Oryza sativa Japonica Group: one gene and its partners. The main gene of each other region encodes a partner of the protein of the gene in region 7 in a complex. Links are inferred from orthologs where the notes say so. Each region holds a gene or a part of one and is shown on either strand. Other genes may lie near its edges.

Region 1 (3,607 bases), on a different chromosome or scaffold from region 7:
CATTACGCATTTACGCTCACAGTGAAAGATCAAATCTCTCTCTCTCAAAAAAGGAGTGCAACAGTCAGACTTGATGCACAATCCATATGCTTCTTGATTCTGCATACCTTTCTGTCATTGTGTATTCAGCTTGTTAATTTCTGCTTTACATCGTTGAAGTGTTTCTGGTTGCTAAATAGGACAAATTTTATACTTGTAGATATACAAATACACTTAATTGAACTTGATTAACATAATTCTGTACAGAGCACAGCTTAAGCAGGCAAAGGTGAACAGAGATGTAGTTAACATGCCTTGGTGCTGATGTGTGAAGGTGTTCCAGATGCTTGGTCTTCTGCTACCCTCAGCTGCACCACCCTCGTACTGTAAGTCAAGAAAGGCCAACTCTTCAGATTTCAGACAAAGACAAAACATGTTACAATGTGACAGTTAATTTTTGGCAACTCATTCATTCCTTGGTGCCAATCTGAGCATTATTCAGTAGCATCGTGTAACACGCAAAAATCAACGAAAACAACAAAAGAAATTCCTTCTTTTTTCTTAATTACAGGTGGAATTAATCAGCTGTGGTGTGAAACTGTGAACCCGTAGGGAAGCAGGGGAGGGAGCTCCCGCTCCTGCATGACGGCATCCGGCGGCGGTAGCACGGTCCTCAGCCACGCCCTTTGTTGCACGGCCAGTGGCCTCCGTCCGAGATCCCCTTGGTGCCGCGACTTGGGGAGAGAGGCGGTCGGCGAATCAAAAGGCAGAAGCGAAGACGGACGTAGCGATGCATGTGATTTCCTCCTCCCCATCCCCAAGCACGGCAACCGAACTCATCGCCCCATCCAGCGACGAGGTGGATCTATGCCACCGCCGCCGAACTTGAGGGGAAAGACGGCACAGAACGGCGCGCTGGCGCGTGGGAGGGTCAGCCTAGGGCGTCGGAGGGGCGGAGGTGGAGCTGGAGCGCGGGGAGGAGGAAGAGGCGGCGACATCGGCGTAGGAGGACAAGTCGACCTCCGACGAATGAGGCGGAGGAAGCGGGGGCGGGGGCGCCGGCGGAGAGAAGGGCATTGCAGGTTTGGTATAACTTTTTCAAAAAGACCCCTAAAACCTCACATATTACAACGAGGTCCACCGCAGCTATTCCACACCGTTGATCTGTGATCTGACGGCTGCGAGAGGGAGACGAAAGCTGGAATCGTGCAGCGCCACGTGGAGGGGTTATTTGCACGCGAATCCGCGTAGATTTCGATATTTAGAGATGTGACATGCATATTAAGCAAGTGAAAGCCGTCCGATAATGCTTGAAGATTCGTGCCCCGAGTGGCTAATCAACATGACCAGATAAACCCCCTTATCCACGAACCCCGACCGGCAGAGAGCGCAGACGCGAGCGCAGCGCAAAAGATGGCGACGATGTCCCTCGCCGCGGCGTCCCCCCTCGCCTCGACTCCCCGTGGGCTCGCCGTCTCCACTCCCCGCACGGCCTTCCTCGGCCTCCTGACCGGAGGGGCGTCGCTGGCGCCGTTCCCGGGACTGGCGGCGGCGGCGGCGCCGCCGCGGCTGCCAGCGGGGAGGGGCGACGCGGCCGTGGCCAGGATGGCGAAGAGGGAGCAGGAGCTGGAGGAGATTCGGGCCATGCCGACGGAGAAGATCGAGGAGGAAGTGGTGGACCTGAAGGGGGAGCTCTTCATGCTCCGCCTCAAGCGCTCCGCGCGCCAGGAGTTCAAATCCAGCGAGTTCGGCCGCATGCGCAAGAGGGTATGTCTCTTACTCCATGGGGTACAGATATACCACAACTGCTAATTCCATTGCGAAAGTTTAGCATTTACTCCTGGCCAAAATGCGTTCAACCTACGAGTGGAAATTCCACCTTCTACTTCCAAATGGGTGTGGAGTGGTCGCATGTTCTGCTCAGTGTGTTCTGTTTACAAGGCCCTTTTGTTCAACCTCTAGTACTGAGTTGATTATGTTCAGATATATTGAGTTGATTTCAGGTTCAGAATAGTGGAATAACTTACCAATTTGTTGGTGGAATTTTGCCTGATTTTTATCAGTTGCATATTGGCCCATACTGAATTTACAGATGATTTGGGTTAATGCTTGGACAATTTCAGTCTCAGAAGCAATTTTTTTTTACTTAATTTGATTAGAAAGTCATGCTGACATCCATTTACGTATTCTTACATAGTATCTACTTTGGGTTTGTAGTATTGTTTATTGGATTTTAGTGCATAGAGTACTACATGAAGAATGATATTGCAATGCAATGTGTATCTGAAGAGCTTTTATACTGTTCTTGGGAAAGTAGTGTTAAATTAACCTTCAGTGGACCAAAATTTAAAATGGAACAAAACTTTGTTCTGAGGACGTCAAAATGCAGATAGTACACAAGAACTAATTCTACGGTCAGTTATGTGATACCTTGTTCTTCTTGAGGGCTTCTGATAAGTCAATTGTTATGAATTATCACTTGCTTTGGAGTTCAGGTCTCCACCTCTGCTCAGGGACAGCACAGGACAAATAGTTAGCAGCAGAGTAATGCATACTTATATCTGCCTCGATCAATGCTTCTTGCCTTTTAGGAGGAGGATATCAGATTTTTTTTTCCTGTTGTTTTTCTCACCCTGCTCATCTTGCTTCAATAGCAGCTTTCTACTATCTAAATTTAGCATTGACTTGGGTTGTCATCTTCGCATCAGATTGCTCGTATGCTGACTGTCAAAAGAGAACGGGAAATTGAACAAGGAATCAACAAGAGATTGTCTAGGAAGCTTGACAGGAAATGGAAGCAAAGCATCGTGGTTAGACCACCACCATCTCTAAGGGAGAACAAGGAGGAATAGAGAGCCACAAAAGCAGACAGTCTGTAGAAGTCATTTCATGCATGTCTTGAAGGAAGGTTTCTTTCTCCCTGTGGTTTCATTCCTTATAATGGATTGATATGTAATTCACATTAACTGATTTCCAAGTCCTTGCTGTCAAAACCAAAAGTTCTATTACCAATTCCATTTGTGTAAATTTCAGTTTATTCAAAATGTGTTGTCCATATATGCACTTATATTACTGATATATGAAACTGTGCTTAACGAGTGTATGCTATACACTTGTTGAAACTCAAACTGCCTATTCAAATTCACCTGTCACAAAGTTGTGGGTACGTACATACTATAAGAGGCAGATATGCAGAGTTCTAAAGAAGTGTCTCTGGAATACGGAGTAACAAAAACAAGAGAATTAGGCCATGTCTATAATAGTTCGCTTGGAATTTTGGTGCCCTGCTTTGCTCCAAACTCAAGTTCACTGTTTTATCAAACGTTTCAAAACTGTACAACTGTCTCCAAGCCCACGTTCTTGTGGCTTGTTGTGTCGGTCACCTAGATTTATGTTATTGTTCAACACTGATTTATGCTTAAACTAGCTCTGTTAGACTGTCCTAAAGCATGTTGGGCTTTCCCCTTCTACTCTAGCTTTAGAGTATGCTGCAGGTATCTCTGCACAGAGCTAGGGAGCCATCCTAGATCCATCATCAGTTTCATAAGCAAGCCCAGGTGGCTTGGCCCTTCAGCCAAAACTTGTTATTCTGATCTCTTCAACAGATCTTAACTTGAGATGTAGAGAG
Region 2 (3,313 bases), about 22 Mb from region 7:
ATAAATTTTACAACCACATCAACAGGAAGGGCATCAGAAAAAAAATCGAAAATGGCACTCTTCAGATTGTTCACATCGTGCCTGACAAAGTGGCAAACAACAAACAAACCCGAATTTGCTCCAGTTATTTCCTTGTCCAGGTTGATCCTTTGTGCTTTAATCAACATCAGGTCAGACGAAAGAGTTGTGAGAGGCCCTAACAAAACACATCATGGAAGTGTATATACAGGCAAATACCTCACAAATATAGAGTGCAGCACAGCAAGGCTTCTTGAAATTTGCTATGATTTTGAGTTTTTGACAAACACAGAAGGCATCAAGGTGCATATGATATTTCCACTATGGGAACACACATTAGATTTAGTGGTACTTCTGTAGGACAGCTAAAGCCTAAAGGAGAAAAAGGAGGGACATGTTAGAAGAAAATTTGTTCAGTACTGGGCTTTGTGTGTTTTTAACGGTGACCGGTTTATCCATTATCTAAAAAATACAAGATGAAATTTCATCGGGAAAGAAATAATCACATTTTGCAAACATTGTGTTTCATATTTTGAACAGCAAAATTCGCTGGGCATCAGCTTAGGAAATACAGAGACGGATGAACAGAACATAGAGGTGTACAGAAGAACAGCGACCGACATCACTGCTGGTTAGACGTTCTTGAGCTTCTTCATCTTGGATGGTGGCCATCTACCTTTCTTCCTCAGCCGCCTCTTCTGGACAAGCCTCCTGCGCCGCTGCCTCAGCTTCTTGGCCAGCTTCATCTTCGCCCTCTGCTCCATGATCATCTTCTGCTTAGTTTCGAGCGGCATTGTCTCAATCGAAACCGTGGGTTTTGGCTCCTCTGGTTGATCTGTGCCAGCTTCTTCTGCGCCAGCCTCTGCCGAGGCATGGACAGAAACTAGCCTCTTCTTGGTGAAAGAAGCATTCAGAGGGCTCTGCGAGGAGAGATTCTTGCACTGGAGCCTTGGGGCTGTAGCATCAGAAAGGACAAATGGCAAGCCTCAATGTGCATCATTTTAGATATAGAATTCAGAGTACATGCATGCTACTTTCAAAATTTTGATAGAATCTCCGTCATATAAGAAACTTGAAAGCTAATAAGTCTAGCTCATGTGTGCCACTTCATGGATAGTATATAGTACAATAACTAGTAACAATCCTAGTGTTCTCAATTACATATTATGATGAATCTTAGCAGAGCACAGATATGTAAAATCTACTCATCTATTAACAATCAGGCCCCAAATGTAGGGTGTACTACGAATGTCACCCTTTGCCAGTGACCGGTGCTTACATAGCATCTGATATTATCATTTAAGCACGAAAGAACCAAAGCTTCGAGAATCTGCAGAGTTCACTGAGATGAATTATACCTAGCTTTGTACAGAGATGATAAATGCACGGAATCTCCCACGAATTACTGCATCTGCACACGACGTGTTTGAAGAAATTCCCTAACGAGCCAACCGCATCCCAGAGAATCAGAAACGCCACGAATCACCAACGTCAAATATCTAGACCAATCCTCCCACCGAATTACAAATCACACCTCACAACAATGGATAGCCTCGTACCCACTCAGCATAATCCAATCCAAGAACCAACACCCCACAACCCGAGTAACTTATGCGCAAAAGTCCCGGTACGGAGAAGGCGTTCACGGAGGTTACCGGGGATGGTGGAGGCGACATTGGCGGAGGCGGGGAGAGCTCTGGCGCGAGGCGGGGAGGCGGAGGAGGAGGCGAGGAAGGAGACGGTCGGGGAGAGGAGCAGCGCCATGGCCACGGGCAGTGTGGGATTCGGCTTCTTGGCCCGTCGTCAGCCTATCCACCCATCAGCCCGGAGGGAGGAGATAAGCCTGTGCTGCTGTGAGCGCTCCGCCGTCCGATGGAGAATCAACGGCCAGATTTAATCTCCGTCAAGTAAGGCTGCTTGGCAGTTGGCCCACATGTCATAGGTGGAGAGAAATTTTGATTTTGATTTTCTTTTTCTCCTCTCGCCGCCTCCGCCGCCGCCGCGGGTGGCGGCGACAATCCGCATCGGCGGCGTCCCCTCCGCCCGGCCGCGCTCGCCGTCGCGTCCTACGCCGCCGCCGGCCGCCACATCCTGCGTTCGACGTGGATAGCAAGAGGTGGGGGAGCTCGCCGACGACAAGAACCTCCCGTTCGACGGCCAAGCGGGTGCCCATCGGTGATGAGAAGAGCAGCTAGCGACAACCTCTTCGTCTCCCACTCCAAGCCGAAGCACGCGCCGGCGCCGCCGTGTACCGCATCAAGAATGTCTCCTCCTCGTCGTCGCCGTCGCCGTCGCCGTCGCCGGCGTAGAGCAGTTTCAGCATCGAGGACGAGGAGGTGTCTGTACAGGAGCTGCTGCCAATGGTTGATCCGGGTCGTCAGCTCTCGTGCGCCATTGGGGATGGAAGCTTCTGCTCCTTCAGCTCGCGGACACCCATCAAGATTATGGAGCGTGCAGAGATCCTCCAGCCGAGCGTAGCTTCGACATGGACATCAATGCTGCCGGAGAGGAGGATGAGGATGATGCACGAGCCATCGTTGTATCAGTGTCAGAGAAGATTTACAGAATCTACGACAAGTCTCGCAGGCTGGCTCGCAGGGTTCAAATTTCCGGTTCGACCAAAGTTTTTTTTATTCTTTTGTGTGAATTTAGTAATATTTATTCAAATTTGACCAAATTTTGTTCGAAAATTCAAATAATTCTGGACCAAATTTCGGTATATCAGCACCCCAATACAAATACTGAAAACGAAAAATTGAACCATGGGCTCGCCAAGCGCCACTGATTGCTACATTGTTTATCTAAGAAAGCTTTGAGTGGGGTCGGAGACGCCTTGCGACAACATTGGCAAACTCCTCTTTGTGGGAACGACGACGACAGTTGGAGATGGTACAAAAGCGAAATTCTGGGACTTTGCTTGGTTGCAAGGGAGAAGGCTTAAGGAAGTTGGCCCCTCTGGTCTAAGCGACTTTCTGGAAGAAAAACAGAACTCTACAGTAGGCCACCAAATCTGGCCAATGGCTACTCGACATCAACCTATCGGCGATTGCAACTAGGATGACCAAACTAATCAGTCAGCTCGTCACTGTCTGGAATGCAGTCCAAGAAGTGCATCTCGTAGAGGGCGAGGAAGACACGACCACTTGGAAGCTAACCAACCATGGTGAGTATATGGTGGCATCAGCCTACAAAGCGCAACTCCTAGGCACAACAAAGTCAGAATTTGATACCCTCATTTGGAAGCCATGGGCCCCATGAAAGAGCAAGATTTTGCATGGTTGGTGATCTATAATAG
Region 3 (4,108 bases), on a different chromosome or scaffold from region 7:
GCACAATATAGCCCAGTTCATTACCTAAAGGGCTAGATTTTTCACAAATGCTCCCACTCCTGTCCTTCAGTTAACCGTTATAAATGATGGTTGTTCCTAACAGTCAAGTAGCCTACTTTACCTGTTTTCTCTATTTTGCAGATTTGTTGTGATGCTTTACATAACTGTTACGGAGGCACTATGCAGGCTAAGTAGCAGATTACCATCATCATCAGTCATTACACGATCATTTGCTCTATGGCTGATAAGCCGTGGAAAAATGACGAAGCAACCAAAAATAACTTTTGAGTAAAACGTCTATATCTATGTTCTTAGCGATTCAAAAGCCAGCACTGGAGAATAAAGCACAATAAAAAAAACCCCTCAAAATCAATTCTAAATTAAGTTTCAAAATCCAGATTTTGGCTGCCGTTGATAAGCCAACAAACGAACGATGGAGCTATGCATCCATGCATATCCTCAAATTCAGTTGGCACAAACAAAATTTCAAACCTTCTATCTACGAATAACAAGGTTAAAAAAATGTCTATCAACATGTCTGAAAATCGAACCACTGAAATATATTGCACACACAATGAAGACTACTAAACAAGGTAGCAATATATCAGTAGGTTTTCTCCCAGAAGTGCATCTATGAGGTAAGTACTGAGATGACGTAAATGGACAACTTCTTTGAACAAAAGGGCAGGAGTTCTGCCTATTGCATTGAACGAGGATAAAACAGAAGTTCACCAAGGATCAAAGAAGGTAAATGGACAGTTACCCACCTTTCACTCAGGGTCACAATAACCAAGCAAATGGGAGAGAAAACCACAAGCAACAGTGTCAATACATATAGTAATCTGTAGAATTTCCATTGTACCTGAGTTATGTTTGGAGAAACAGTCCCAGCTTTGGGGTTAGGCATAAGTCCTCTCGGTCCTAGAATCTTTCCCAATCCGGCGACCTGTGAAGCAAAAGACCAAAATCAACAACATAATATGCCGAGCTAGTAGCACACCTTTAAAACTTCCATGCAGGTCTTGCATGGAGCTCAACACTTATTGCAGAACTGCATCCAAACTTCCGAAGAATGTACCAATTCAAAACAGTAGAACCTTATTTGCTTATCGAATCTATTTTCTCTGAGTGAACCAAATTTGCATATCTCCATTATGGCTCAAATCATAATCGTAAATGCTAGACACTTGTAATATGAAGGGATGGATCAGATATGGCAGGTAATGATAAGAAAACAATATCTGATCAATACAACTAAATGTTGCCTGGTTTTGTGGTTCCTAATAACACTGAAACATAACGTGTTCATTTGGATGTGGGATAAACTATGTCGGAGACATGCAAAAAGACAAGTCTTCATAATGCTTGGAATTGTTTTAGACATGAGTTATGCAGCTAATGCCATACCTTAGGCATCATATCAGGTGATGCAATCAGCTTGTCAAATTCCATAAATCCTCCTTTTATTTGGTCAATCAGGTCATCTCCACCGACAATATCAGCTCCTGCAGCTCTTGCTTGATCTATCTTCTCACCTGCAAGGATATTTGACAATAGCCATTACATAGTGCTAGTGATTAGTGCACCACTTTAGTGACTAGCGCGCATTCACATACTTCCATTTCAATTCACTATATAACAGCGTGCTTCCAATTTAATGAACCGTAAATAACCACATGATCAAGCAGGCAAACCACACCTAAAAGACACAACTAGCAGTGACCTAATCAATCCATGCACCAAAGATTGCAATTGGAATTGGTGCTGCGATAACAATCTCCAAAATGTAATTGCAACCCACCTTGTGTGAGGACCGCAATCTTCACCGACTGGCCCGTCCCCTTGGGCAAATTAACCTGCACATCATCACCAAAACCGATCCAATATCATCAAAAACGATTGATAAAACACAAGCCAGAACAGAACGTACGTAACAATGGCAACAGCAGAGAGAAAGAGCAATAACCGTGGCGCGGAGCTGCTGGTCGTTGTACTTGGGGTCGAGGTTCATGCGGAAGTGCGCCTCAGCGGACTCGACGAATCGGGCGCTGGCCATCTGCTTCACCAGCGAGATGGCCGTGGGCACGTCGTGCTCCTTCTTGCTCTCCCTCAGCTTCTGTATCTCCAGGAATCGCTTCGACCTCGTCTGCAAACCCATCAAAAAAAAGGCGAACGCGGCGTCAGCGTCAATCCAAAAATCAACACGAATGGATGAACACGCGGGGGGGAGGCTGGATTCGGGGGGGGCATACGCGGTCGCGCTTGAGCGGAAGGGCGGCCTTGCCGGTGCGCGGGCGGGTGGGGGGCGTGAACGCGGGGCCGCGTCCGCCCTCGTACCCGTCGTCGTAGTCGTCGTCGTCGTACTGCTCCTGCCCCTCGTCCTGCTGCTCCCCCTGCTCCTCCTCGAGCACGGCGCCCTGCGGGTCTGCGACGGCGGCGACGGCGGGGCGGCGGAACGCGAGGAGCAGGCGCGGGTAGTAGGCGCGCAGCGACGGGACGGGGGTGGGGAACAGCGCGGTGGACGAGGAGGAGCAGCACTGCGCCGCCGCGGCGCCGGTGGTGGCGGGGGCGGGGGCGAGGAGGGAGGAGGCGGTGGCGGAGAGGGAAGCGGCTGTGGCCATGGTGGTGGTGGTGGTGGTGGGGAGGGGGGAGGAGATAAGCCGAGGTGGAGGATAGAAAGGGGAGGAAAAGGCGAAGTGGCAGCGCGAGAGTGTTATAATAGCCGGTGAGGCGAGGGCGAGGCGAGCGGGCGAAGCGCGCAGCGGATAGGGCTCTCTCTCGCTCGCGCGTCGCGGGGGACGGGGGAGGACTCGTGCGATTTGGGCTATTTTGGATTAGCCGAGCCGTGTGTGCCCGCGCGCGCGGGGGAGACGGTTGGGGGAGGGTGGTGCGCTGCGGCGCCGCGGGCGTCGGATTGGGCCCAAAAGCTCACGATTTCGCCGTTACTGGGTACGGTCCAAAAGAACCACCGATAATGTAGTGCTATTTACTTTTTAAAAATACTACGAACCATTACCCATAATCTGTTAGTTGCGAGAGTATCAGAAATGTCTGGCCGTACCATCAGAGTACCTACACTCTCTATCCCAAAAGATACAACTTCTAAGAGTGTTCACAGTAGAAGGATGTGACGTTCAGCCCCATAGCCAAGAACTGAATATTCGGCGCCGCATTGACAGTACGCGGAGCCAAATAAGGTTCTCGTACCCAAACATGGATACTCGTTCTTCAAACGAAGAAAGCAGGGAGAAAGGTGAGTTGTCGTGTTGTGGAGGGCGGAGCCTCACACGAGTGGCTTCGCGCAGCGTCGACAGCGAGCGCATTGTCGCCACAGCCACGGGGAGAGAGAGAGAGGAAGGCGCCATCGACGAAGAGGCTGCGACCGCCACCGTATCCAATGATGAGGATGGGAGCTCGCCGTCCGGCACCGTCGCAGCTCGGGCTGCCCTGACAGCCGCCGCCGCTCAGCCCCAGCGCCTCGGATGCCCTGGTGAGAAAAGAAATAGAGTGAGAGATTGGGGGATGAAAGATTTCGGATGAGAAAAGAAACAGAGGAGAGAGAGAGATTGAGAGATGAAAATTGAAAAAACTGTACCGGTGGGACCCACTACTAGTACTTGCATTGTAGAGGATGAAGCTTAACAGGTTCTTCGTCTACGTGGCATATGAGGAACGGCAAAAATATGTAGCGCACTGTGAATGTCCTAAGAATGTTGTCCGGATTCATTCCTAGAAATTGATTTTTTATGGGACGAAGGAAATAGGAACCAATACGAGAGTCTGATAATGTGGTATTAATGGATATCGTGTCTGGTAGTACCAGATCCAGTGCACATACAAATATGATACCTACGATCCTGTGCTGATGTTAGCACCATAAGGTATTCTGTTGTAACAGTATAGTGTTATGTAGTAGTTCTTTTTTTTTTGTCACATGCAAACTTTACAAGATCTCTTTTAGAAAGAATATTGGAAGAAATTGGACTGAATGTCTTAATCTTATGCAATTCATGGGTTCTGAGAGCATCAACAATGCGTGTCTCCAGGGCGTCCCCCCACCCGACGCCGTCTCCTTCCGTTTGAAAAAGCAAACGAGGTGTTCTCTCGC
Region 4 (4,199 bases), on a different chromosome or scaffold from region 7:
CTAACTTTTTCCACCCTCACCCACAAACAAATCTAACCCAAATAGTTTATGTACTAACAGGATGACTAATTAGCTCAGCTTTGCCCGCGGCACACACTTTTGGCATATAAAGTCCGTGTCAAAGTTTCAGATGAAAAGTTTCTGGATGGAAGTTTCCAAACGAAGGTTTTTTCAGATGAAAGTTTTCATTAAAAAATGTGTTGAAATCCCTATGTTTGGGCCTAATAATACAGCGACCAAGCGGCCCAACCTACGACCACCAGACTGCCTACGTGCCATTTTGGCCCACCCAACCCAAATATTGTAGTAGCTCTATCAAACTATATGACTATAAAGAACGTGCACCTTTAAACAAGATTACAAGACAAGTATCAGTTGCTCTAGACTCTGAACCCTTTGTTGTTTACATCATGCCCATTTAACCCCATAACATTAACACAAATAAATTTGTCAAAAAAAAAAAGGTGCAAGAAACTGACTTTACAGGTAGGATGGACAGTGGCAATGTGTAAAGACCAAGCCCCGTGATGTGACACTGCACCTTGGAGTTTCAGCAAAAATCTCTGCAAGTAAATCATTGCATGAATTCAGCTGCTAACACAATTGACGAAATGTATATGACAGCTTAAGAACGGAGCAAAAGGTAAGGAACAATGGAATGCCTTGCAGATGAGCTTACCTGGTGAAATCAGAATTCATCCAAAGCCCACCATCCACTAAAGATTCAATCAAGCAGCTTCAGGGCTTATTTCGCATATACGGTCAGCCTTACTTGAGCTGTGACTTCAGGGTGAAGCTTAATCTCTGCAATGTATTCCCCAATTTCACGAATTTCTGGCACTGTCACGAGACGCTTGTCGACATCCCTACATGAAATAGTTTCCGGTAAGCAAAGCAACAGCAGCAAATAGAGCATCGCAATCCTTCCTTAAAAGGTAGTGATTGTCAGTGCACTTAGAAGGGCATACCTATTAAGTTGTGACTTTATGATGTCAACAAGATCTTGTGCTGTGACGCTGTAGAATAGAAGAAAAACTTGTTATTAAGTGCAAGTAAAATAAGACGATACATAAAGAACTATCTACTCGATAAAAACTTGCCTCCCAAATATCTGTTTTCCTTTCCCACCTTTACGTGGCACTTTGAATGCCCCAATAGTTTCAAAAACACGGGCAAGTTGCTGTGCCTCTTCTTTTACCTACTCAAGCACAAATGCTCAACAGGGTAAGATTATGCTAACACTGGATGAAAGTTCTTATACTCTTATGGAAAATGATATTGGTAGGAACAAATCATGCTTTAGACTTTTTACAAAATAAGCTAAACCACAACTACGTACCCTGGAGAACAAGGATTAGTAGGGTATAACTACCACAGTAGTTTTTAGACAGACAGGAACAAATAGGAATAAGTTTCAACTATATCAATTCTTACTGAGTCCACAAATAGAATAATAGGTTTACTTACCCGCTTCTTTTCAGCATCTATCCTCTCCTGTTCTACTTGCATTTCCCTGTAGACAGCAGCAGAGGAAATTAAGTAGCTTACTAGCCATCCTTTTACAAGAACTAATTGAACATGTTGAACACCCCAGAAGAACTGAACTAGAAATGCAGAATAGGCATCTATAAAAGTTTGCAGATTTATATGTCAATCCTGGGCTCCACAAGGAGGCAAGAGATACAATGGCTAACACAACAGAATAAATAGCTGCAAATTTACACCTGCAGCATACTGTGAAAACCAACTACGATGAAACATAAGCATACGTCAATTAATTTACTAGGAGCACCTATCTGTTGGTTGAAACATAGCCTATACAATTCGTGAGATGTGGTAAATGACTGTAAGACAGAAGATTACTTGAGTACTTCTGGGGTGAGCAGCGTTGCCTTGCCCTTTGGCAGAAGGAAGTTGCGGTAGAACCCGGCCCTCACTTTAAGCGTGTCCCCTTTCTTCCCCACCTCTGCTATGTCATCTGTCAGTATGACCTGGGAGAAAAAGAAACTCAAGTGAAGTAAATCAAATACGGAATCGTGCATTACATGCTAAAGTATAGAAATGCATAATAGACAAGGAAGATGATGACATAGGCTTGGAACATTTTACAGTTTACAGGTGCAAATTTTGAACTGGGTGTATCTAGATGCCTTTTAGTTGCAACTTTCCCTACAAACAAACAGCATGGCCAAACCAACAATTCCGGCGTTCCGGGGCATATACAGAATCATATTAGAGATGACTTTTGCATCTGAGTTGCAATGCTAAGAGGCACCTAATTAAAAACATGACGATAGTTTCTTCCATTTCCATGTACTGCATCAGAGCATGCGTCCATGGCAATGTATCTTTTCCTATACTCAGATGTGTGAATGCACACAGTAATCTTAAGCTTACAGCTGCTGCATTTCGAATTTTTCGATCGATGGAATGCAGTCGCATGCGCTTTGTAATCTACTGTACTGATTAGTGGACAGGGTGGTGACAGACAGTACATTGGGTATGGCTAGTTCTAAAAGAGGCAAAACAAAAGCATCACCAGCAACAGCTTGTTCAATCAGTCAGTACTAGTACTGCTTAGCTCGAACGAATCGCAATTAAATACATACATACATACATGCTGCAACTGTGGAGAGAAAATACAAGTGGAAGCCAAACCTGGCGATACTTCTTGACCTTGCCCTGGGCGACGACGACCAGCGACGGGGAGCGGCGCGGCGGGAGGCGGGAGGAGGGGGCGGAGGAGGAGGCGGCGGAGCTCCAGGCGAGCGTGGAGGCCATGGCGTTGGGGATGGATTGCGGGGGAAGGGAAGGAACTGCGGCTGCTGCTCTCTTATCCACTTCCCCAACGGATTTGGTGCCCTCTCTCTTGGGCTTTGCGCTGCTTTGGGCCTTTCAAATCGGCCCAGTATCAAAGGTTTTCTTCGGGGTTGTCATGGGCTTGAAGATTAAGGGTCATTTTGGTTTGGCGCTCCTTCTTGCCTTACTAATTCTTTGATAACTTAAAGGTCAAAAATAAATTATTTGGTAACTTTGAATAGTTAACACGTAACTATTTGAATTAGAGTCAAATTTTGCTAAATCAATAAGGTGAAGCCAAATAGACAATAACAAAAATTTAGTAATACCAAAATTTACTCAAGATTTGGCATTGCCAATATTTTGGCATGGTTTCATACCAAACAAGTCGTAATAATAATCCACCAAATTGTAACCCCCTTCCACTCAACGTATAGAGAAAGGTAGGAGATATATATGTACGTGATACCTCGACGATATTACTAAGATAGATAGATAGTACATGTGATGCCAAGATGTTATAACATACATTAAGAGAAACACTCAGGGGTCTTCCGGCTAGCTCCACAAGGTGATAGCCTAAATGACCTGGATTCGTAACCTCACCCCTTCTAATTATTTGATATTAGGTCCTTCACTAATATTCATGTTATAACATAAATCGAGAAATATATTATTATAACACTATTTTGGTGCTATCTTGAAACTCAACGATACATCACTAGCTACCATTACGTATAAACGTGTATTAATAGTATAAGCAAATATCAACGAGTATCATCAAGTATCAATGTGCAAGAACGAGTATTAGCAAATACTCCGTATCTTCATGAATAATATCAAAGAGTATAATCAAGTATCATTGTTTAATTATCAACGAGTATCATCAAAATATCATCCTCGTATATCATACTCCAGTATCATCTTGTTGTACTTTTTCTGACAAAGATCTCCAGCTGGTGACCTGTTTCTCGAAAGGAACAAAAATTAAAAAAAAACCTAGCAAATCGTTCTTAAAAAGAATGGCGATTATATATCTTATTGAATTAGTATGTCTACTGCTCAACGAGATGAGAAAACCGAAGAGAAGAGGGGTATATAATCGAGTATATGTCATCGTCGTCGTCATGTCATGCAGCCGTCCATGACTTCGTCCTTCCCGCCATCGGAGAAACCAAACAAGCGGACTCCACGAAGCTAGCTAAGCTAGCTAGCGCGCCAAAACTTTAAAAATCCTCACACCCTCTTCCACCTTCGCTTCATCTCCAATCCAATTCTCCATCGATCGTTACACCCAAAGATCGAGATACCAATACCATGGAGGAAATCTTGGAATCCGAGTACTCGGCCGCCGCCGCCGCCGGCGACGCGGCGTCCTTCGTGCTCTCCCGCTTGCCCCA
Region 5 (4,011 bases), on a different chromosome or scaffold from region 7:
CAACACTGGTAGGACAGACAACAATCCTCCACACCGCCTGCGAGAGGGTCCTCTTCCTGTCTTCCTGGCCATCAAGGAGGAGAGAATCAACTCCACATCTTCTCGGGTGACCTCTTTGATAGCTCCTTCGGCGAGGGATGGGTGGGCGGAAGTCAAGGAGGCTGTTCTTGAAGACGGAAAAGAGAAGTAGGGGCCGGCTCGACCTCGACCCGGTGTTGCGATGTCGTCGCGAGCATGCCGGTCTGTCTCCTCCGAGAGCTCCACTGTCTCCACTTCAAAAGCCATCAACGAGGAGGAGCCCAAGAGCGATGTGGAGGAGTATGAGGAAGAGGAGGAGGTGGACCAGTGGGTAGAAGTGTGCTATCTGGAATGGAGGTTGATGCGAAGGGGATCTGGAAGTGGGAGCCAGACTTTTGCTACTGTCCCCATCTTGGATGCTCGCGAGAATGTGTGGGAGTTGGTGGTGTGCGACACGACATTGTCCCTCTAGTTCACTTGCTTCTTCCCCAACACCTCCATCAACAACGTCACCCTCCGCATGCGTACTCATCTTCATCACTACCGCTTGAGCTCAAGTTTTGCCGCCACCACCGCAGCACCCCCTTCCCATCCCCGCGGCTCCTCACACTCCTGACACGACTGGGCTTTCCTGCAGATAGCTCATGAGCTCGAACTCGCCGGCTCCCTCACCTACCTCCTCTTCTCCCCCGTCGTGGACCACTGGAGCCACCTCATCACTGACCTCCCACCACCATTACCACCTCCCGTGGATGGGCTCGCTGGCCGCCGCCCCTCTCCCCACTGGAGGAGATGGGAAAGAGAGGGGGGAGGTGGAGAGATGGGGAAGAGAGGGGACAGGTTGGGAGGAAGTCCACTTTAAATTTTAATTTTCTGATTGGTATGCCACGTTAGTGAAACCAGTCATCCATAATACCATGAGACTGACTTGGAAGGTTTTTCCAAAATGGGGGGGAGGGGGTGAAGATTGCTGGTATTGCGGTTTAGAGATACCATTAAACTCGACGTAAAATAAGGGATAATAAGTGGACTTATCACTGTGAGTAATACTAGTAGTAATGAGAGTTGGGCTTGGGCCGCCCTTTTCTACAGTACTACGATATATGGGCCCCTGCTCACACAGTACATAGAGAGACGATTATGATAGGATAGGAGAAACAAGTTGTACGCCACGCCGCAGCCGCACAAGACTTGATCCTCTTCTTCTTCTTCTTCTTCCTCCAGGCTCCAGTGGCGATGGCGACCATGCTCTGCTCCTTCACGCCCGCCACCAGGGCTCCGCTCCTTCGCACTTCCTCCTCCTCTTCCTCTCTCGGCTTCGCCACCTCGCAACTCGCCGGCCTCAGCCTCGGCCTCTCCGCCGCAGCCACCACCGCGCCCTCCGCCGCCGGTCCCAAGCTCCACCCCATCCTCGCGCGTACGTCATCTGCCTCCTCCTTCTTCTCTCTGTTTCGAGCCATCCACCCGCAGATTGACATTACAGTTTTATATTACACCACCAATGTCATTTCTGCTACTATTAAAGTTGTTACTTTATCCTTCGTTTTTTTTTTGCGCTATCCAATACTCCACTGTATATATACTACTACTAGAACCAGATGACCTATTTGTTAGTAATTGATTGCTTTAATCTCTCGAAAATAGACTAGCTGTCAATCTATTACCATAAACTCAGATCTTTCTTTGTATTTTTAAGAGAATGGAAGCTTTATTGAATTTGGTCGTTCTTTGCACCATGTCAGTGCACAACCAATAGATACCACACAACAAGAAAAACAGAACTAACTCAACGATTAAGGACCTAATATCGGAAGACTAGGTTGCCGCTCATGTGCCTGGGTAAAAAAAAAAAACCTTGACCACATGCTCCAAATGAAGACAAGCCGAACAGACAAAACCCCTGTAATCTGGCTTCTTGAGAATAATCCATGATCGGAGCCAATGTGTGATCAAGAAAATAACCTGCAAAGAAGAAGAAACAATTTTCCTGTCAAAAATCACATCATTCCTTTATAGCCAAATAGCCCAACAAGTCAACTCCTAGTAGAAAAGGAGGCCTAGACTCTTTGTTTTGTCGCAAACTCCATTGTCCAGACATATGTGACACACTCCTAGGTGAAGAAATGTTCGATGCAATCTGGATTAAAGACCAAACTGATCGGGCTAGCCGACATTCAAAAAATAAATGCTTTATCGTTTCTTCCTTGTGGTAAAAACAATAGGTCTTATTCCCTTTTCAATTCCGTTTAGCCAGGTTATCTTTTGTTAACACCACCCCTCGACATAAATACGATAGAAACATTTTCACTTTGAGAGGGATTTTTAACTTCTAGATATGTTTGTTAAAATTGGGAACTCTTGTATGTGCAAGATAATGAGTTTTAACCAAGAATCTTCCATCAGGTGTTAGATTCAATTTAAAGTCATCTTTCTCGTGTGACAACACTATATTAGCAATGCGTGGAAAGAGATGATTCCACGCCACTAACTTAAGGCCAATAATATCCTTGCGCCAAGTGAAATTTAACAGGGTTGTTTAGAATATATTTGAAATGGTTGCTTGTTTATGTCTGACAACCATCTCTTTGTTTCTCTAAGACATAAGCAGAGCTTCTTCTTCTTACTAGTGTATATAAGAAAGAAGGGGGAAAAGAAAAAATATAACTATTCTGGCCATTTCAAGTTATAGTTTTAGTTTTATTCTAAGTCAACCATTCATAACTTTAACTATCAATTTCTTATTTAAAAAGATAATTGTGACTTATCAATTTCTAGAAATTTGTAAAGTTTAACAACATGTTAATTGTACTATATATTATGAAGGTACTTTTCATGATGCATATATAAACACATAAATATTATGATATTAAATGTTTGGCTTATGATAAAGTTAAGGACAAGTAATTTAAAAGGGTGAGATTATACTTTATCTTTTGTTTGCATGATGCCACAAATTATAGAAACTAGTAGTAGTAGGAACAAGATGGCGTGTATGGTGATGTTGTTGTATGATGTGGGGGTGGGTGACTCAGGCCGGATATGCCCCTTCACGGACAAGAAGACCAACAGGGCGAACAAGGTGTCCTTCTCAAACCACAAGACGAAGAAGCAGCAGTTTGTGAACCTGCAGTACAAGAAGCTGTGGTGGGAGGAAGGCAAGCGCTTCGTCAAGCTGCGTCTCTCCACCAAAGCCCTCAAGACCATCGAGAAGCATGGCCTCGACGCCGTCGCCAAAAAGGCCGGCATCGACCTCAACAAGAAATAAATCAAATCATCATCATCATGATGCATACATACATGTATTCTCTCATCAATTGCCGCTGTGCTGAATAGACCAGAGCTGTATGTAGTCCATTATTAAATCCATTCATCTCGATGATGCAATTTATTGTAGAGTACTACAGTATGCATTCATCGGTGGTGGTGGCCGGCTTCGTTTCCTTAAATTTCCTTTTATCCCGTGTTGCTGCTGCAAGTCCGGCTCGAATTGTTTGCTACTAGTGTTTCATTTCGGTCGAGTTCCTAATTAATACTGTATGTTGGTTACGAATTATAAGATGGATGGATGTAACTTGAGCAGCATCAGGTCGTGCAGTTGGCATCTTGCGCTTTTCACTTTAGAGTGTCTTCCAGTCTAAGCTGAAATTGATTAATTATTTTATTTCCTTTTTGGCTATTGATATTTAATAAGAGCCTAAATGAAAGAATTAACTTGTACAAAATTGAAAAGCTGTTTGTTTTGTACAAAAGGAACTCCTACGCCAATATTGATTGTTCTACTGCTATGGCCTGTCTGGTTTGAGATAGCTGAAATTGATGGATTGTTTTATTCCCCTTTTTAGCTATTGATATTTAATAAGAGCCTAAATGAATAATGAACCCCTACAAAATTAGAAGGTTGTTTTTTTTCTCTCTAAAAATGTAGAGACGAGAAAAAGGTGTTGAGTTGTAGACGTGGAGCAACCCGGCAGCTCCACACACGCGCAACCTCTG
Region 6 (2,607 bases), about 6.0 Mb from region 7:
GGCTTAGCGCTCCCCTCCATCTTTCACCGGCGGCGTGGGGTCTGTGACCGCCACTCCCCTCCAACGCATGGGTTGGGCTCGGCGCTTCCCTCCACCTTCCACCAGCGATGCAGGGTTCATGACCGTCACTCCCCTCCAGCTCCACCTCCCTTCATTGGGTATTAAGCTTGCAATCGTCACCGGATTGGCAACGCCCTCATCGAAGAAGCTCTCTCCGTGCAGTCGTCGACGAGCCTGAGAACCGCCAGATTTTCGCCTGAGTTGAAGAAGAAACTGATCTGCGTTGTGCGGTGTTGAGCTAACAGAGGTATTGACAGTTGTTGTAACGGAGTGGCATAGCTCAAATTTTGCAAAATTTCAGTGGCATGAACCTGATATCGTGAATAGTAATGGCAAATTGGTAAACTTGCAATAACATGATCCAATTAACCCATATCTTTGGGGAGGCTAATGCGCACGTACGTGCTAGCAATTTAGCTGGCGCCCGCGTCAGTTGGCCCCCTCCCCTGTTCCCGCGTGCTTTTCTTTCTCACTTTTTTTTTACGATTTTGGCGCCTGGATCCGGGTGCGTTTTTCTTTTTTTTCGCCATTTCTTTCTATTTTTTTAATCTTTCGCACACCCCTTTACAAATGTAGAGTTGAAAGTTTTAAATTTTGACTTCAAAGTTTTTAAATTTGACTTGAAAGTTTTCAAATCTGAGTTGAAAGTTTTAAATTTGAGTTGAATTTTTTCAATTTGAGATGAAAAGTTGAAAGTTTTCAAAATTTGACTTTAAAAAAAATTCAAATTTCGAGTTGAAAGTTTTCAAATATGGGTTGAAAGTTTTCAGAATTTGACTTGATGTATAAATTTCTTTTCAATCTGTTACTTTAAAAAATTTTCGGAAAAAACAAATCTTATCTTGATTATCTAAAACTAATGTATTTTTTTACACGCTAAAACTAATGGACTAGTTACTACATGCGCTATGGAAAGAATCTAACCGCGCCCGTGCGGTGCCGTGCATACGCGTGGGCCAGAAGTGCGCGCCCGCGGCGCGTATGCGAGAATTAGGAATTCTGCATATTTTTACCACGTAAACGAAATAATTGCATACATTTTTTTTTCTGGGCCAGTAAGTAACCAACGTGTATCAGCCCAAACCAAACAACAATTAAGAAAGCCCAGCCAAAGCGAGGCAGGCGAGCGGCCACCCGCACGGCACCAAAGCCTCAAAAATTGAGAATCATCAACGCTTGAGAGGATAACACACACCAGAAACCGATAAGGGACACGAAACAGGGGAATCCGGAGCAAAGTGCGACGCGAGCGCGCGAGGAAGCAGCAGCCATGGCGCTCTCCCTCTCCACCTCCTTCCTCCCGACCCAAGCCGCCGCGGCGGCCACGAGGACCACCCTCCGCTCCCTCGTCCCCTCCCAGGTACGATTCCTTCGATGCCCCCACAACCGCGTAGGCGTAGCGCCGCCGAATCGGAGATTCGGAGGAGGTGATTGGAACTGGGCGGTGGTGTGACGATTTGCCGTGCAGAGGATGCGGTGCTCGATGCGGAAGAAGGGGCTGCACCCGGAGATCTACGAGGACGCGAAGGTGTACTGCAACGGGGAGCTGGTGCTGGTGACGGGGGGAACCAAGCCGGAGTACACGGTGGACGTGTGGTCGGGGAACCACCCCTACTACGTCGGCGACACGTCGGCGATGGTCGTCATGGACAGCCAGATCGAGAAGTTCCGCAAGAAGTGGGGCCACATCAAGGAGTACTGGCCCGAGGACCAGTGGAGGGAGATGCACCCCGACGGCGACCCGGAGTTCGACCCGGAGGAGGAGGGATCCGCCGGCGCCAGCTGAGCCCCCGCTTCGCCTCTCGCCTCCGCCGCCGGCCTCGCCGGTGCGGTTTCTCTTGGTTGATTTTGGGAATTGCGTAAAATGGATTAGCTCCTCTTGCTTGCGCCTCTCGTTACACGTGCATTCGCATTGCTCTCTAGGTGTTCGATCGGTGTTCTCAGTGGATACGTGTGATCATATTTGTGGTATCGAACTGTTTGTTCTCTGCCTGTACTCTTTGACATCGATATAAAATGGAGATATTGCAATTTGCACACTCTGTAATTGGACATTTCCAACTCGTTGAATCGATGCATGCTAGTGTTGGTCTGGGCTCTCGAATAGAATCGTTGCATACATCAGTTTGTCCGGTCTTCAGAATAAGCAGTAAGGGGCTGTTAGTTCACGTACTAACATTGCTAAGGTTTACCATGTTTTCTCGCTAAAGTTGAGGCCATCAAAATCCAAGCCACGCTCTAGCCAATAAAGGCTATGTTTAGTTCCCAAAAACTTTTCGCAAAAACATCACATCGAATCTTTGGACACATATACGAAGCATTAAATATAGATAAAAAAAATTAATTACACAGTTTACATGTAAATCGCGAGACGAATCTTTTGAGTCTAATTAGTCTATGATTAGCCATAAGTGCTACGGTAACCCACATGTGCTAATGACGGCTTGATTAGGCTCAAAAGATTCGTCTCGTGGTTTCCAGTAACCCACATGTGCTAATGATGGCTTAATTAGGCTCAAAAGATTCGTCTCGTGGTTTCTAGGCGAG
Region 7 (4,260 bases):
ATTTATCTCACGATTTACTGACGGATTCTGTAATTAGTTTTTTTTATTAGTAACCGAACACCCTATGCGACACTCTATATAATATCCGATGTGATACGTCGAAACTTTACACCTCTGGATCTAAACAACCCCGTAGATGAAAATTTGATACCACCTAATATAAATCTGGATAACCTCCTAATCATTATTTTTAGGTGGTATCAGATCTTCATCTAAATTGGCTTTTTTTTTACAGAATGAGTACATGGTACAATAGGTGTTACTTGAGCACACGATTGGTACTGTCAACTTTTTCGTTATATGGAAGATAAACACGGACGTGCAATTAATTAACAGATCTACATCAACTATTAAGAGAATTTAGAAACACCTGATGCCCATTGAAAAAAGAGAACACTTTTGCCCCCAAACAATGACACATCAAGCTCATCTCAGGTCAAAATTGCACTACTCAATTGGATATGGAAATATCGGATTGCTTAAAATCGTACGGTATTAGGTACATGATATGTAATCAACAAGAACTATGACTTAGAAACACAAACTTTTGGAGGAAGTAAATTACAAAAAATTTTACACTCCATTCCCCAAACAGACAGATGCATCACATTCCAAAGATTGGACAAAATCTCGAGGGGAGGAATTTACGTGAGATTGTTGTGTCTTTCTTAGTCTCCACAGGAATTATCTACTTCTCAGACTTCTGTATTCTTTTATCCTTGATAGGCAGTGGAACAGGTTTTTGAGCCTCATGGGGATGTTCTGCTCCCTTGTACACCTTGAGGTGGGTAAACAGTCTTCTTCCCAGCTGCAAAATGTTCAAAATGTTGAGAAGGCTACATAGAGCACGTACAACCGCTGTAGTTGGTCGGATTACATGTGTCAGTGTCACTAACATATGAGAACTTGAGAGGTTGACATAGTAAACGTTTTTTTTTTTTATAAATGAACTTAGGCATAAGTAAAAGGCTTTAGGCAATCATAAGATGTCTTACAGGCAACATAGGAGTTTTGGGAGAATACATCTAGTACTTCGTTAGCCCACGCCGTTTCGGCATTCAATTAGAGCGAATATTTCCATGAACAGGGTATATAAAGTTGGGGAATTATACACAATAATGAAGTATAATGGAACAGAACGAGGATACCCATTTTCAGATATGTATTAGAAATTGACCAAAAATAAGGATAAGAGCATATGTATACCCAGGTAGGCTGACTTAAGGTCAAAAAGACTTGATGAAACTGACTAGATAAGAGCTCTAAGAGATGATGTCTTACTCTGCCCTTAGGAAGCATGCCACGCACTGCATGTTCAATAATTCTCTCCGGAATCCTTTTCTGAAGCTGATCAAAAGTTTCTTCTTTCATTCCACCAGGCCGTCCAGAGTGCCTCCTGTAGAGCTTCTGTGACCGCTTTTTGCCAGAAACAGCAACCTTCTCTGCATTAACCTATGTGAACATAGAGTTCAGCATGGTAGTTCAGGAACTTACAATAGTATATGCGTAGCAATTACTCTTCAGAGATGCATTAGTATTAAAAGCACACAGTAACATAAATATATATACATGAAATCAGCTTCAAAATGCCTTCAGGTGGACCTCAGCTTCCAGATACCTTTTGGTGCTTATTTGTATGTGCTGCTAAACCTCTTTTCCTTTTGTGGGACTACAGAGGATCTTATTGTGTGCACTATTTAACTTTATAAATTAATTTCAAGAAACATACATACCACAACAACAAAAGCCCCCATGTCCACACTTGGAGTGTATGTGGCCTCATTCTTTCCTCTGATGTGTACTGCAATGGTGGATGCAAGCCTACCTAGAATCTTGTCTGTTGCATCAACAACATACCATGTCTTCTCAGTAGTTACATGATCTGCAGCCTTAGGGTACCATGTTGTGTTCCATATGTCCTGCAAATTAAATTCCTTGGTCCGATCACTACACAGAACAGGTTGCACAGAAAAGAGAGAAAGAACACAAGAATGGTATCCGTACTGAATTCTAACTTCACAAACCTAAACATCCACAGATAAAAAGATATGGTAGTCATGTAGGTGCGAACACTGTTGAGTAATACAACACAATGTTAGCGACCAATTCAGAAAGACCAACGTTCCCTCCATGTTATTTTCAGTTCATTTTATGGAATCCTCTTTCGTAATAAATTACAACTAGATAACTTTAAATAAAATAAGATGGTGGTCTATACGGTATAGTAACATGTAAAAACATTGTGTATTTTCCCTAACATTATTCATGTAAAGAAAGGATTTGACCCAATAGAGCAAGATGAAGTGACTTACGGATTTAGAAATGAATGGGACTAATCTTGAGCTTTCCTAAATAAGCGGCAATCCTAAATCACGGTAAAATTTCCCTTTATCCAAGGAATGTAGCATTACTATTCATTTTCTGAACTGAGAAAGAGAAGAATGTATACGGGAGAGAGAAAGAGAGGTGAGGGTTAGTACGGGGCCGCAGAGCTCGTCGCCTTCGAACATGAATCGCTGCTCGCGGGGGACGAGCGCGGAGAGCGGCTGCCTCTTCTGCTTCTCGCTCTGCTCGCACCGCACCGACAGGCCCCCCGCGGCGGCGCGGCGGGTCGCGGGCCTCGCCGCGCGCCGCTGGCGGGGGAGCGGCCTGTCCCTGGCGAAGGCGGAGGAGAGGAACGCGGAGGCTGCGATGGCCGTAGCCATTGCGACGGCGGCGCGGTGAGGAGGACGCGGCTGCGGCGAAGTCTTGTCCGTCTGGCTTGGCCTGGTTCAGTGGAACGCCACTGCCATTTCGTTTCGGGGAGGCGAGGTGGAGAGAGCAGAGCGGATAAGAAGGGGATAGGGGGGGAGAGGGAGCCAGAAGGGGAAGAGGAAGAGATGGGCCTTTTGCTTAGCTGGGCTTTGCAGCCCACAGATGCATCAAAGCTAGAGAAACGCGTAGAAATTCCGATATGTTAAATGGGATAATTGCTTATTTAACCCTATTTTAAAGGCCAACTACTAAATTGATCTTATTTTTTTAGGTTTGTTTATTTGACCCTGTTATTTGAAATTGAAGTTTCCATTTGACCTGTTTTGCTTTCACCGGTAGAACATCACTTAGAAAAAAGAAAAAAAAAATACTACCCTAAAGTGACCAAAATACCCCCGTGTTACAAATTAACCCTAGGATTCCCATTCCATTCCCCAGCTCTTCGTCCCAATCCCCACCTCGCCGGTGACGGGGAGAGCTGCCGCCGACCGGGCTGGAGGGAGAGGCGGCGGCGGCGTTGGCGGCGCATCGAGGGAGCGGTGGCGGCGGCCGCGCGAGGAGGGAGAGGGAGCGGCGGCGGCGGCGGCGGCGTTGGCCGCGCGTAGAGGGAGCGGTAGCGGCGGCCGCGCGAGGAGGGAGAGGGAGCGGCGGCGGTGGCGGCGTTGGCCGCGCGTAGAGGGAGAGGGAGTGGCGGCCGCGCGAGGAAGGAGAGGGAGCGGCGGCGGCGTTGGCCGCGCGAGGAGGGAGAGGGAGTGGCGGCCGCGCGAGGAAGGAGAGGGAGCGGCGAGCGGCGGCGGCGGCCGCGCGAGGAGGGAAGGAGTAGCGGCGTCGGCGCGCAGGAGGAGGGAGCGGCGGCGGCGGCGGCTGCCGTGCTCGAAGCGGAGAGATTGAGCGGCGGCGGGGCTGCTGCCGCACGGAGGGTGGAGGAGGGGCAGCAGCGCCGGCTGTTGCCGCGCGGAGGGGCGGCGCCGCCGGCTGCCGTCGTGCGTCGTGTGGAACGAGAGACGGAGGATAACTTGTGGTTGGATTTGTTGATGGATTTGGATACGAATTTATTGTTGGATTTGGATCTGATTTGCTGTTGGACAATATGCTTTGCTGTTGGACAATATGCTGTCAAATTTGTGTAAAATTCTGTTAAATTGAAGACAAATCTGTCTCAGATCTGTAAAAGCCATGAAAATCATTGCAAATATTTAAAAAGTCCCGATGAAGAAAAAACTTTGATATAATATGGTAAATGAGCAGGGGCAAAACGGACAATTTCCCTCTTAGTTAACACCGTTATCTACCCTTCACAAAATAGGGTCATCTCTGATCTTCAATTTTAAAAAGCATGGTCAAATGAGCAAACCTAGAAAAGTAAGGTCAAATTGATAGTTAGACATCAAAATAGGGTCAAATGAGTAATTGCCCCATGTTAAATTGTCCACACACACAAGCAAGTCAGCACTACAGGTGATATAGGATCATATACCCAAAATTAGGCTATGTTTCTGGCGACAA

What was found.
Region 1: large ribosomal subunit protein uL13c (region 7) and large ribosomal subunit protein uL29c share a complex: the UniProt entries of both Arabidopsis thaliana proteins name them as parts of the 50S ribosomal subunit. The link is inferred for Oryza sativa Japonica Group from reciprocal best matches to the Arabidopsis thaliana genes emb1473 and AT5G65220.
Region 2: large ribosomal subunit protein uL13c (region 7) and large ribosomal subunit protein cL37 share a complex: the UniProt entries of both Arabidopsis thaliana proteins name them as parts of the 50S ribosomal subunit. The link is inferred for Oryza sativa Japonica Group from reciprocal best matches to the Arabidopsis thaliana genes emb1473 and PSRP5.
Region 3: large ribosomal subunit protein uL13c (region 7) and large ribosomal subunit protein uL1c share a complex: the UniProt entries of both Arabidopsis thaliana proteins name them as parts of the 50S ribosomal subunit. The link is inferred for Oryza sativa Japonica Group from reciprocal best matches to the Arabidopsis thaliana genes emb1473 and EMB3126.
Region 4: large ribosomal subunit protein uL13c (region 7) and large ribosomal subunit protein bL9c share a complex: the UniProt entries of both Arabidopsis thaliana proteins name them as parts of the 50S ribosomal subunit. The link is inferred for Oryza sativa Japonica Group from reciprocal best matches to the Arabidopsis thaliana genes emb1473 and RPL9.
Region 5: large ribosomal subunit protein uL13c (region 7) and large ribosomal subunit protein bL28c share a complex: the UniProt entries of both Arabidopsis thaliana proteins name them as parts of the 50S ribosomal subunit. The link is inferred for Oryza sativa Japonica Group from reciprocal best matches to the Arabidopsis thaliana genes emb1473 and PRPL28.
Region 6: large ribosomal subunit protein uL13c (region 7) and uncharacterized protein share a complex: the UniProt entries of both Arabidopsis thaliana proteins name them as parts of the 50S ribosomal subunit. The link is inferred for Oryza sativa Japonica Group from reciprocal best matches to the Arabidopsis thaliana genes emb1473 and emb2184.

Annotation. Positions count from the first base shown.
Region 1 is NC_089036.1:32,213,695-32,217,301, forward strand, and holds large ribosomal subunit protein uL29c, read left to right. Parts: upstream 1-1,361; 5' UTR 1,362-1,392; coding exon 1,393-1,746; intron 1,747-2,687; coding exon 2,688-2,831; 3' UTR 2,832-3,107; downstream 3,108-3,607.
Region 2 is NC_089035.1:9,870,984-9,874,296, reverse strand, and holds large ribosomal subunit protein cL37, read right to left. Parts: upstream 1,829-3,313; 5' UTR 1,783-1,828; coding exon 1,674-1,782; intron 974-1,673; coding exon 651-973; 3' UTR 501-650; downstream 1-500.
Region 3 is NC_089039.1:18,889,670-18,893,777, reverse strand, and holds the start of large ribosomal subunit protein uL1c, read right to left. Parts: upstream 2,801-4,108; 5' UTR 2,622-2,800; coding exon 2,253-2,621; intron 2,147-2,252; coding exon 1,967-2,146; intron 1,857-1,966; coding exon 1,802-1,856; intron 1,536-1,801; coding exon 1,408-1,535; intron 947-1,407; coding exon 863-946; intron 1-862. UniProt on the Arabidopsis thaliana protein: This protein binds directly to 23S ribosomal RNA.
Region 4 is NC_089036.1:35,818,859-35,823,057, forward strand, and holds large ribosomal subunit protein bL9c, read right to left. Parts: upstream 2,801-4,199; 5' UTR 2,782-2,800; coding exon 2,659-2,781; intron 1,992-2,658; coding exon 1,864-1,991; intron 1,514-1,863; coding exon 1,468-1,513; intron 1,199-1,467; coding exon 1,101-1,198; intron 1,017-1,100; coding exon 969-1,016; intron 867-968; coding exon 746-866; 3' UTR 680-745; intron 564-679; 3' UTR 326-563; downstream 1-325. Other genes in the region: 4-coumarate--CoA ligase-like 3, read left to right, coding at 4,117-4,199. UniProt on the Arabidopsis thaliana protein: Binds to the 23S rRNA.
Region 5 is NC_089039.1:104,682-108,692, reverse strand, and holds large ribosomal subunit protein bL28c, read left to right. Parts: upstream 1-1,211; 5' UTR 1,212-1,254; coding exon 1,255-1,435; intron 1,436-3,050; coding exon 3,051-3,283; 3' UTR 3,284-3,600; downstream 3,601-4,011.
Region 6 is NC_089035.1:25,929,496-25,932,102, reverse strand, and holds uncharacterized protein, read left to right. Parts: upstream 1-1,246; 5' UTR 1,247-1,330; coding exon 1,331-1,420; intron 1,421-1,528; coding exon 1,529-1,846; 3' UTR 1,847-2,107; downstream 2,108-2,607. UniProt on the Arabidopsis thaliana protein: Binds the 23S rRNA.
Region 7 is NC_089035.1:31,965,685-31,969,944, reverse strand, and holds large ribosomal subunit protein uL13c, read right to left. Parts: upstream 2,801-4,260; 5' UTR 2,706-2,800; coding exon 2,481-2,705; intron 1,920-2,480; coding exon 1,734-1,919; intron 1,453-1,733; coding exon 1,282-1,452; intron 809-1,281; coding exon 689-808; 3' UTR 456-688; downstream 1-455.